Linked DNA regions of Oryzias latipes. The protein of the gene in region 2 interacts with the protein of the main gene of each other region in a pairwise test. Links are inferred from orthologs where the notes say so. Each region holds a gene or a part of one and is shown on either strand. Other genes may lie near its edges.

Region 1 (3,652 bases), on a different chromosome or scaffold from region 2:
TTTCTATCCAGAAGAGACTAAAGTGACAGGATGACACACAGGTTTTTTATTTTACAGCTGAATATTCTAACTTTGTAGTCAGATGTTGCACATTTTGAGCACAAAAGAACAAAAGGTGGAAACCCAGAGGAAGGGCAAAAATGGCTCCGACTTGTTTCCTCTGAATAGTTTTTGTTTTTTTCTTTTAAAAAGCCTTTTATAGGCTTTTGGGAAAGTGACGTTTTAAAGTGTCCACTCATCAAGGTAAAAGATTTCTTCTCATTATTTTTACAGAAACAGTGCTGAAGCTTTATTCTTTTTGTTCCATTTAATCTTAATAAAGTAAAACAATTAATGGAATGAAAATGAATGGAAAAATTGGAAAAAATGTTTAAATCAGAAATGCAGAATTTTATAAACAACCAAACCTCATAGTATTATACTATATTATCATATACTATATTGTGTTTGTGGTTTCTTACTATTCTTGTTTCCTAAAGAGTAATGGAGAAAGTCTAATTGTTCATTTAAAATTTGTTCAAAGATAGTTTTCTGTGTGCGATCCCAGTGAATAAATACTGTTATGTGATCCTTTTCAGAACAACGTTTATTGTATCTATTAGGATTGGTTATTATGCTTCATAATTGCAGATGTCATTTTAAAAGTGGACACTGATGAAGTCGCTGCCTCTTGACCTACCTGATAACAGCTTTGCTACAGGCCAGCTCATTGGCCAGGAAGCCCAGGATGGAGGCCTTCTGAGCCGGCGTATGAGCCTGGAAGGCTTTGGTCTTCAGACTGAGGGCCAAAGGAGCCAGGTCTGTGTTGCCACAGTGGGCTCCCATGTACATCTGTAGCACCTCAGAGACATTATCCCTGTTGATGCCAACATTGGTCAGGTGGTCTCCCAGCATGGTTTTGGTCTGGTAAAGACATGACATCACATGCATGTGTTAGTGCATTCGTTTGATCAATTCAAGACAAAATTTTAGCTTGTTCACTGACAATTCATCACCTTTTTATGATTTGTGAATATATTTTCAGGGAAAAAACATGAAGAAAAATAACAAACGCATAAGCATAGACTTATTAGAATGCTCATCATCATTGACGTATTTTACTTAAGGAGAGGAACAATAAGTACTTTCTTCCAAATTAATCACTGTTCTAAAGTATTCTCTCATTTGAAGACATGATAGGGAATTTTCCTGCAAGTACTTAGTCCATTCGTCTTCATGGCCTCTGGGTCAAAGCTCACCTTTTGCCCAGGTGGCAGGCCAGGATCACAGACAGCTAGAGAAAGCAGCTTGACTACAAGGTCTTGGACTTGGCCCATGCTGTCCCCCACGTTGAGTAAACCCTCCTGCAGCATCCCCAGGGTGGGCACGTCCACATTCATGTCCAGGCCCAAAACTTTCCCAAAACCTCGCAGGAAGTGCATGAGCATCAGGCAGTCGGACACGGCACGTCCTGGGAGGATGAGACCAGGAATCCGAGAAAACTCCGGGAGAGCCTGGAAACAGGAAAGTCAGTGAGTAAAACGAAACTATATAGTCCTGATGCATGTGTTACTCTATAGAAGAAAAAAAAAAGAATCATCCTTATCTGGGTCCTATGATTAAAAACAGATTTGCCATTTACTGGATGAAGTGTTCTTAAAAAAACATGATGCACTGCTCTTCTCCAACCACCTGGTGGTGCACATTTTCATCATTAAAATGTTCTCTGCAATGTGACACAAACTCTTAAGAAAAGGTTCAAACAACTGCTGCTTTATTGTTATTATTAGTTACCTTATGGTCAGACAGACACATGTCTTCATTTGGCTTCTTCAGTTCCCTCGCTATCTCCAGTTCCAGTCGGCGCTGCTCCTGTTTACGCTCTTTGTTCAATCGCTTCTCGTCTCTTTTCTCCTGCCGCAAGCGTTCGCGCTCCTGAAGAGTCCGACATTCAAGGGCGCATTAGGAAAGCCAGGCATGCGAGGGGAATTTTGTGTGCTACAACTACTTTAAATTGCTGAACATGGCTAGAATTCCTGTCTAAAAACCGCCTTGCTTTCAAAGGAAAAGTTCTTGAGGGCCAGAGTCTTTTTACTTGGTAAGAGTGTAAAAAGATTGAAAACTGCCTGAAAAAAGAAGGAATCCACTGAGGAAGCAAAGTCTTTGGCCCTTTTATGAAATGGGGTGTGTGTCTGTGTGTACATAAGGACTACCTCTGCTTTCTTGCGAGCCTCAACAGCCTTCATTAGCATTACATGTTGCCTCCTCCTTTCCCTCTCCTAGAGTGGCAAAAAATAGACACATTAATAAACAGACGCCGCCCGAGCGGCATTTAAGGTCGTCTAAGTTGATCGTGTATTAATGCAGGAGAAATAAAAAAAACTGTGATGCACTACATTCAGTAGAGGCACCAGCACAAAGTGATGCTTCGACATGTGTACACTGTCACATGTATGGGGGAAGCATAAGAGTACAGTCGAACGATGACAACCAAAAAGCAACACATAGATGCGATACAAAGTAGATGTGATGACAGGCTCAAAAAACAGAAGCAGCTGAAAATCTGTGACGGCGCCTCCAAACTAAAGCTGACACAACAAAAGCAAACAAAATTGCTGGGTCCTGCGAGCTGCCTGACATGCCACACTGACTTTATAATCAAGTGAAGAAATATTCAGAGTTAATGTTCATTTGATATATGGCTGGAATAATGCTGGGTGAGAGGACGGCAAAAAGGCAGCCAGGAACTGAGCAGTTCCTCTTCAGTGGTTTTGGACGTTTAAGCATTAACACAGAGATTGAGACATCTATGTTGCTCTCTGGTGCATGAGACACCATCTACTAAAAAAGAAAAAGGCTCAGGAATTACTGTTGACTGTCTTTATTTGATCTCCTTAGGTGTCCTGCTCCACCGTATCAGATTGTGACTATTTCTTCCATTGAGAAGAACAGCAGGATGTATGCTATAAAAGCCAATGATTTTACTAACGGATTCATCTATACATGCAGAATAAAAAGAAAAAAGAGGTAGAGATGTTTAAAAAGTCAGAAAAACTTCAGTTTGACGCTAAATCCTGTTGTTTGACACTTTTCACCCATGGAGGGAAAAATGAGTGTTCGATGCAGGAACTGGCTTGATCCAGAGAGGAAAAGATGGGCAGACGTGTACACTGGGCTACGACTGTGTAAGAGTAAGAAGGGCTACAAGCAGGAGAGCCAGGCCAAAACGAAACGCTACACAGAACCATGTTTGTCCGGATGGTGGTATCGGCTATCATCTTTGTCTGGGCTGCGACTGATCCCAAATGAAGCACTAGTCAAACTTAAGGTAATCTGCCCTGGAAGGGTCTCCACCATAAAGACAAAATGACTCTCAGTAGCCGTTTTCATTCTTTGTGTAGAGTACATGAAGAGTGAATGACAGAGAGGTCGGGACGGGGCAGGTTAAAGCCCAGCGCTCTTGCGGACTGCAGGACAGATGCACGGACGAACAGACACAAGCTCGATGTCTGGGCTGAAGTCGTCAAGCACTCACGGGTAACACAGGCTACTCCAATACAACAGTTAGACAATGTATGTGATGGATGGAAACTCCTCCAGCGCTTTCTCAGACAAGTGAGTGTGGATTGGCTAGCAGCCTTTGCAATGCATTCTGAGTAGAAGGGGAGGATGG
Region 2 (3,752 bases):
CTCTGCATTGAAATTGGTAAAGAGACATAACATCTTTGAATCTACTACCTTTAACTGCAAAAGAGCCATTTGGGCCTGTTTCTTACTGATCAATTCCTAGTGGAAACGGCAACGTCTTATTTTACCCTTTCAAATTTGACAGAAGGGCCAGACCAGGAACAGATCTGTGGCTCGTTTTGCTGATCCACCTGATAAGAAAGAAAAAATGAACTGGAAAAACCTGCTTTAATATTGATTGACATCAAATGTATATATTTTAAAACAGGACATTTTGGAATTTCAAAACTGTGATTTATTTTTCTCAATTTACTGCCAGTCTCACTGATGGGTTGATGTCCCTCAGGAAAAAACACAAACTGAGGGGAAAAAAAGCTGTGTTCGTGTGCTGTTAGTACGATCGGACTGTCCTACAAGGAAAACACACATGAACGTCAGAAAAACAACAAATCTTCCAACTTCACCTGAATGCAAAATAACTTTTATGCACCTAAACAAAGGTACATGTATTTGTAGTGCACCATCTTGGGACTCACCAGAAAATAAAACATTAATCTTTCTGGCGAGCCGGATTTAATAGTTTCATGGCTGCATGTGAAACCCTTGGGGTGTAGTTTGCTCACCTCTGCTTTAGGAAAATGTGATAGTATGTATTTATTGTTTATTTAAAAACTAGCATTTTCTCTAGTGTGAAATTGCATTTTTACTATTGACAGAAGCTGCTTTCAAAATAAAAGACGCAAACAGGATCTTCTCAGTGCAGTTCGTGTACTTCCATGAAAGGTTTTTCTCCAAGGAATCTGAGGTCGGCTTCACAAATACTGCAGACAGTGATTCAAACCTAATCTTTAGCCGCAGATCTTCAGAGGAGCAGCACAGACATCAGTAGCAGACATTGCATTAGGGGCCGATACGTGGCGTTTGCGCTATCTGTGCGGTTTCCCCTGCTGGTCCCACAGCTGCCTCCTTGTCCAAATCTGGATATCTTCTCATTCAGCTGCTTCAAATGCCCCAGCATTCTGTTACATTTGTAGTGAATGGGGGAGGGGGGGGGCATCTAGGGGGGATATTAGGAGCATGTTTTATATGCATGAACGTTTTCTTGCAGCTCCAGCATGGTGTATAGTATATATAGTAACCTGTGGTGGTGGTGTTTACACAATAAGTGGGGGTCCTCGCTCATTCATGAGTGGGCTAACCTGGACATGGGAGCCAGTCCATATGAGTAAATGTTTGATTGACACGAACAATCAACCAATGAATGACGTCGGTAGGCAACTGTCTGGATTTCATTGGCCCCTTCGCTGGACCAGCCCTTATTTGCTAAACCAATTAATGGGATCTGGAAGTGATTGTTGACCGTTCTGACCAATCAGAAGGCTAATAGGGGGCAGGACGGGCGGGGCTTCACTGGGAGGGGGCGGGGCCTTTCAGGTCATTCAGTCCCTTTGCGATTCAGTCAATCGGCGTGTTTGCGGGGATTGGTGGCTGCTGTGAGGAGTTGCCGGGCGGTGGTGCTTTGAAAAACGCCTTTGTGAAGAAGAGACGCCGCTGAGAACCACGCCACCGACCGAAGACACGGCCGCCCCGGTGACGACGCGCGCGAGACTGTTCCGCGCGGAGATTACGCCACACGCACGAGCCCTCAAACGCAGCCAGGCTATCTGACTGTAGCATGCTAGCACTCCCGAAAACAGACGCTAGCCTCCAAGCTAATTACCCATCAGTCATCGTCCTCCGGCTCCTTGGGCATCGTTAGCTCGGTTCTGCTGGTGCCGGCGCCTTTGTTGTCGTCGCGAATTCTCCAGAACCGACCCAAAGAGAGCGCTGTTCTCCCCCCTCAGCTGGCAGTGGCAGTAGTAGTCTGCGTCGCCGCGGTTCAGACATCATCCCTGCCATCGGTCCGGACCCGTCACCTCTCTCTGCCCCTTCTTGTCCTCCACCCGGAACACTGGAAGTCCACAAGCGGCCGGATAGCGGCGAGGGGCCGGCGAAGCTGGGGGCGGGAACGTTACCGGACTCGCAGCCGCAGGGAGCCGTTACGCCAACGGACGACAAGCAGCAGCACAGCCGCGCGGACTCACCGGCGACGGGGATGGACGGGCTGGCCGTGGAGGTTCGCGGCTCCAACGGGGCCTTCTACAAGGTAAGCGGGGTTTCTACCGCCCGCCTCAAAGTCCGGCTTGGCCAGAACCGGCTTCGGAGAGCCAGAATAATTGGGGCCCAGCTGAGCCCGAGTCAGTTAGCTGCGGGTTTGGAGCGGTTCGACCGGGTCGGGTTAGCTAGCTTTGGTTAGCGGGGTGAAGCTAGGTCCTCCTACTCGTCGTCTTCACGCGTGGCCCGTTTGGGTCACGTTGGCGGGACAGTTCGGTTGAATTCGGGGTGTTTGGTGGGAGGAAGGCTCGGTCCTGTGAACGGGGTGGGTTTCGATGATCCAGACAGCTGTCGTGAGGTCGGTGAGGTGATGCTCCGTGAAGAAGCGGAGTGACCTCACCGCCACCATCATCATCATCATCATCATCAGTCCTGCTTTGGGCTGCTGATGCCTCACATGAGGAAGGGCGACGGTTTCTGTTTCAGTTCTGGCTGATCTTACTGAGAAACCAAACCTAAGGCTTCCCCCACCCTCTGTGCTTCCACTGAGGGGGGGTTATTATTGTTATTATTCTATTTATTTCAATGGAAACGAGTAGACTCCTCATCTGCTTCCACACATCTGAACCGGTTTGTCCCACAGGCAGACATGGGTCTCCAGTGGTCTGGACTTTGGTAACTCGGGGGTTCCATGTGCTCCATCTACCCCCCTCCCCCTGGGTTCAGTGATGGTCCTAAATTTACTCCTGTGCAGCTTCACCTGTTGTGTGTCTTACTGGTTGTCAGTGCGCCGTTGGCATGAATGACGGTTTTCCACTTTAGCGTGAGGCTCTGACCGCCACAGAACTGCCTCATTATTCGCATTTTAAACAGCAATTAATCCAAGCATTGACCTCCAAACAAAAGGTATTAATCGGAGATGCAACCATTCACTTTCCCCACGTCTCTGTTCGCGTGTTACAAATAGGGCTGTAAGAATATCACTTGTGGTTCCGGTTTATTCTTGATATCTTTTCATTCTGATTCTCTGACCTGAAGTGGATCCAGATCCTCTTGATCCAAACTTCCAGCAGTGAGACTCAGACAGAAATTCCTGCTACTGAACAGTTTTCCAGATTCTTGGATTTCTTCCAGATCATCAAGTTAAATGAAATCTGTGTCCAAACCAACAAGTAAACTAGAATGAATGTCAAATCCATTCACATGTTAGTTTCCTAAACTTCAGCGCTGTTGTGTTTCCACATCCAGAGAATCCAAAGGGAACATTCTAGCACAGGGGTGGGCAAACTCCGGCCCGGGGGGCCACACGTTAAAGGATCTGATCCGGCCCGCCAAACTGGGAAAAGTTAAATTGATCATCCTTACAAAGGTTTTATTTTTCCTGTAATTCATAAATGGTGCTCTGCAGATAAAGTGAGCTTTACTTTGGTGTAGAAAGTAATTCAGCACTCGTGTTGGAAGATCTGTTGTTTTTCAGATGTTTCTGACAATTCCAACCGCACCTGAATGCAGCATTTCTCTAATTTGGCTTATTTCCCCCCTGAGGGACATCAACCCATTGGCTCTAAAATGAGAACAAAATCATCCAAATATGTTGCGTTTTAAAATAAAATCATTTTTTATTAGTTCAAGCATGTTTTCATCCAGATTCCGTGTTATTT
Region 3 (3,724 bases), on a different chromosome or scaffold from region 2:
CCATCTCTGCACTCAGGTGAGCTCAGCACTGGACCCGCTGCAGTTTGCATATCGACCAGGCATTGGGGTGGATGACGCCATCATCTACCTGCAGCACCTAACCCTCTCACCTGGAGTCCCCTGGGAGCCCTGTGAGAGTCATGTTTTTTTGATTTCTCCAGTGCTTTCAACACCATCCAGCCATCACTGCTGAGGAGGAAGCTGGAGGTTGCAGGTGTGGACCAACATCTGGTTGCTTGGACCATCAACTACCTCACAAACAGACCACAGTTTGTGAGGCTGTGTGTCTGATGTGGTGGTCTGCAGCACGGGGGCACCTCAAGGGACTGTGCTCTCCCCACACCTGTTCACCCTGTACACATCGGACTTCACCTACAACTCCCACCACTGTCACCTGCAGAAGTTCTCAGAGGACAGTGCCATTGTGGGCTGTGTTTGTTAAGCTAAGCTAACATCCATCATGGATAACCCCTCCCACCCCCTGCACCAAACTGTAGAAGCGCTGACCAGCTCCTTCAGCATCAGACTGTTGCACCCTCAGTGTAAGAAGGAGCGCTACCGCAGGTCATTCCTCCCCACAGCCATCAGACTGTACAACACCGTGTTATAGTAGCTGTGTTTACATGGGCAAAAGTAATTGGAAAGAACACCTGAATCGGAAGGAAAATGTGTCATGTAAACACACCGTTCAGAATACTCTGCCCTGATCAGACTCGTTTGGATCAAAATGTCTTTCCGATCGAGATAGGTGGGTTATGCCGATTGTTGATCCAATCGTGTTACATGTAAACAGTTCATTCCGATCGTGTCACTACTGCTCTGGTTTAACGTCACGCATAGACGGTGTATCGCTCCAGAGAAAGCTTTGGAGCGCAAACAGGACCAACCGGCTGCTCTGCGGAGGACCGGTGAGAACCGCCGCTCTGCTCTCGCCCTGCTGGCTCTTCACCTCTCCCCTCTCTTACACCCCTCACGAGGGGGCTGCGAGGGGGAGCGCTTCGTGCCCCGTGACGTCTGGACCCTGCGTGGTCCGGGCTCGGGTGCCGGTGGACGGAGCGAACTGTGTCTCTGAGCAGAGCAGCCGGATTCATAACTTTGTGTTTGAGGGGAGTGTTTGTGTTCATCAAAAAAGGCTAATGTTGTTAGCGCGTGTGTTAGCCTCTCCAGGGTTCTTCCACAAAAAAAAGCACTGACCACACGGATTAAAATTAAAATGATGAGCGAACAGGCGCTTCATAATATTCATAACATTGATAAAAGCACGTTTAGAAGATCGTCTTGTATATTACCGAGCTGCTGCATGAATGTATGTGGCAGCTCGGTTTGTTTACTGTGGGACCCATTTCCTCTTTCGGTATTTTCAACACTACTGCTCATGCTCAAATGATTTATTCCAACCGAAAGTGTGACCCATGTGAACGTTTGTTCTAATCGGAAAAAGGTTTTCTGATCCCATGTACACGGTTGGATTTTAATCCGATCCAGATATTTTGCGCATGTAACCGCGGCTTATGTCTTCAATAATATAAGAAAGCTCACCTTTCCCACACCTCTATAAACCTCTGTAATTCTGGGGTCCAGCTGAGGCATGGGGCGCCCTGACACCTCCGACATCACCGTCCCCACTTCGGTCTGCTTCTCAGTGATTTTCTCCATGATTATGTCTGCCAGGGTCCTCCTACGAGAAAGAGAAACATGTTAGTAGGGACAGAAGAAACTGGCCTGGTGGTTTCTGTTTGTTGTTGTTGGTTAGTCAGAACTGCCATGTTTCTTGCCTCATTGGTGGGTTTTTATTCATGAACATCTCAATGGCCTTTTCGTCTTCTGGGTCTACAATAATTTCAGCATCACATTCGGTTTCTGCCGCCCCAGAAACTGCTTCTCCCAGTGCGGGCCACTCTTCATCCGAGTCTGCATCCCCAGATTCAGGACCTACAGTTACAGGAGTGTTTAGAACTCACATAATGAAAAGATGCAGATCTAGATGTATGGAATCACCCAACTAACTACAGAAACGAGTAAATGAAAACATTATTACTTCTATTTTTAAGTATTTATTTACTGAAAGTATTTTAATTTGGAGTGTTTACTAAAACCATCATTAGTGAACAGTTAACTTTATTTTTAAGTCATAGCATTAGTGCATCCCTTAGCAAAAAGTAGTCTATTTAAGTAAACTACAAGTATACTGTCTATACTAAAAGTAAAGCAGTAAACTAGAATTTTCTTTTTATATACATTTAAAATTTTCCAATAAAAGTCTGAAAAAGTATTCAGTTACTATATGTCCTACACTACACGTACATGGTCTATACTTGTACACTACTACACACTTATTACTCAAGTATCCTTAAGTAAACTTCAAGTGTACTTGTCTTTGTTAAGGGTAGATGGGTCTGAATTGTGATGAATCTGTGATGCAACTTTACTAAAGTTGGTCATCGTTTTCTTCGGTAAGAAAAACTAGAACAAGAGAGAACCTTTAGAAACCTTAATCAACGGCTTCTGTTTGATCATTTTCTAAACTGAAGCGGATGTCCTGGTTCTGATCCAACATTACCAAGAACAGTGACCGGTGTCGCCTTCTTCTTCTCCGGTACCAGCCCATATTCGGTCTGAAGCTCCTCTTGCTGAATTCGGGCTTGCTGTAGGATTTTCCGCGACAGCCGCTCGTCTACGTAGGTGTCGTCGCTTTCTGGCCGCTGGTCTCTGCTCTTAACCCGGTTGCGGGCTCGGACCGTGTCCGTCTGCAGGATCTGGTCAGCCAGCGCCACGGATCCAGAGCTCTTTTCTCCTCCACCTTTAGATTTCTTCACTTTCGGCATCGCTACAGCTCCAAAAAAATTTACAAGCTAAAGCCTGTCTATGCCTTTTTAGTGTGTAAACACCCAGCTGTTTAGCACGTGCGGACAAACGGCATGCGCGACAGAGGCAGCGGAAATACATTACGTCACATCCGGTTTCATTAAAAATGTTTCGAAACATTATATATGAAAGAACCTATGTTTATTAACTGAGTTAATCAGTTTAACTCAATTCGTCTATGTTCACTTGTATTTTTATTTTATTTTTTCCTTTACCGGAAGTCAATTTGTTTAACCGGAAGTAGTTGCGAAGGAGGCAAAACAAAAATGGGAGTAACTTGGTAAGGAATATTTTGGCTCATTAAAGTGTAATTATTATTTCAACATAGTTTGGTTTCGCTATGTTTATAGGACCTGTCTATTTCAAATGTTTGTTCTTTTGGGGAAAGCGTGCTCCTCCCCTTCATGGATGCGTTGGGTTGTCGCTGCTCAGTCGGGTGTTTTGTCTTTCAGTGTTTGTCAGGTGCCCATAGCGGAGGGCAAGAGTGTGCAGCAGACCGTGGACGTCCTGCAAAAAAAGCTGGAGCAGCTCGGTTCTGTGAAACAAGGCAGCTTCTGCGTGGATTGTGAGACATACCACGCCACGGGAAACGTTGTCGGTAAGCTCGCTACTTTTTCAAGCATCACGCGGGAAACATATTAGTAGTTATTTATTCATGTGGTAATTAGTTGTGGTTGCTTAGACCTTTAAAAAGCAATTAAAAAAAGGTGATTGGCATATGAGCTCCGTTTGTGCCCTTGCATTTAATTGGTAGCATTTTTAACAAGAACATTCAGGGCTTTTGCTAATTCTTCCTTCAGACACATCTGCAGTAAATATGGGACACAATTAAGCATACATAGCCACTTTATCTTATGTG

Evidence for each region.
Region 1: the proteins of fragile X mental retardation syndrome-related protein 1 (region 2) and baz2b interact in binary tests that used the Homo sapiens proteins (3 or more experiments, as listed by UniProt). The two-hybrid records come from large-scale screens. The link is inferred for Oryzias latipes from reciprocal best matches to the Homo sapiens genes FXR2 and BAZ2B.
Region 3: the proteins of fragile X mental retardation syndrome-related protein 1 (region 2) and bysl interact in binary tests that used the Homo sapiens proteins (3 or more experiments, as listed by UniProt). The two-hybrid records come from large-scale screens. The link is inferred for Oryzias latipes from reciprocal best matches to the Homo sapiens genes FXR2 and BYSL.

What each region holds. Positions count from the first base shown.
Region 1 is NC_019861.2:14,699,631-14,703,282, reverse strand, and holds part of baz2b (bromodomain adjacent to zinc finger domain protein 2B), read right to left. Parts: intron 2,259-3,652; coding exon 2,193-2,258; intron 1,915-2,192; coding exon 1,774-1,914; intron 1,494-1,773; coding exon 1,239-1,493; intron 904-1,238; coding exon 680-903; intron 1-679. UniProt on the Homo sapiens protein: Regulatory subunit of the ATP-dependent BRF-1 and BRF-5 ISWI chromatin remodeling complexes, which form ordered nucleosome arrays on chromatin and facilitate access to DNA during DNA-templated processes such as DNA replication, transcription, and repair.
Region 2 is NC_019876.2:28,852,650-28,856,401, forward strand, and holds the start of fragile X mental retardation syndrome-related protein 1, read left to right. Parts: upstream 1-1,441; 5' UTR 1,442-2,092; coding exon 2,093-2,143; intron 2,144-3,752. UniProt on the Homo sapiens protein: mRNA-binding protein that acts as a regulator of mRNAs translation and/or stability, and which is required for adult hippocampal neurogenesis. Specifically binds to AU-rich elements (AREs) in the 3'-UTR of target mRNAs.
Region 3 is NC_019863.2:2,276,550-2,280,273, forward strand, and holds the start of bysl (bystin), read right to left. Parts: upstream 2,935-3,724; 5' UTR 2,826-2,934; coding exon 2,561-2,825; intron 1,933-2,560; coding exon 1,776-1,932; intron 1,679-1,775; coding exon 1,540-1,678; intron 1-1,539. Other genes in the region: med20 (mediator of RNA polymerase II transcription subunit 20), read left to right, coding at 3,132-3,145, 3,318-3,463. UniProt on the Homo sapiens protein: Required for processing of 20S pre-rRNA precursor and biogenesis of 40S ribosomal subunits. May be required for trophinin-dependent regulation of cell adhesion during implantation of human embryos.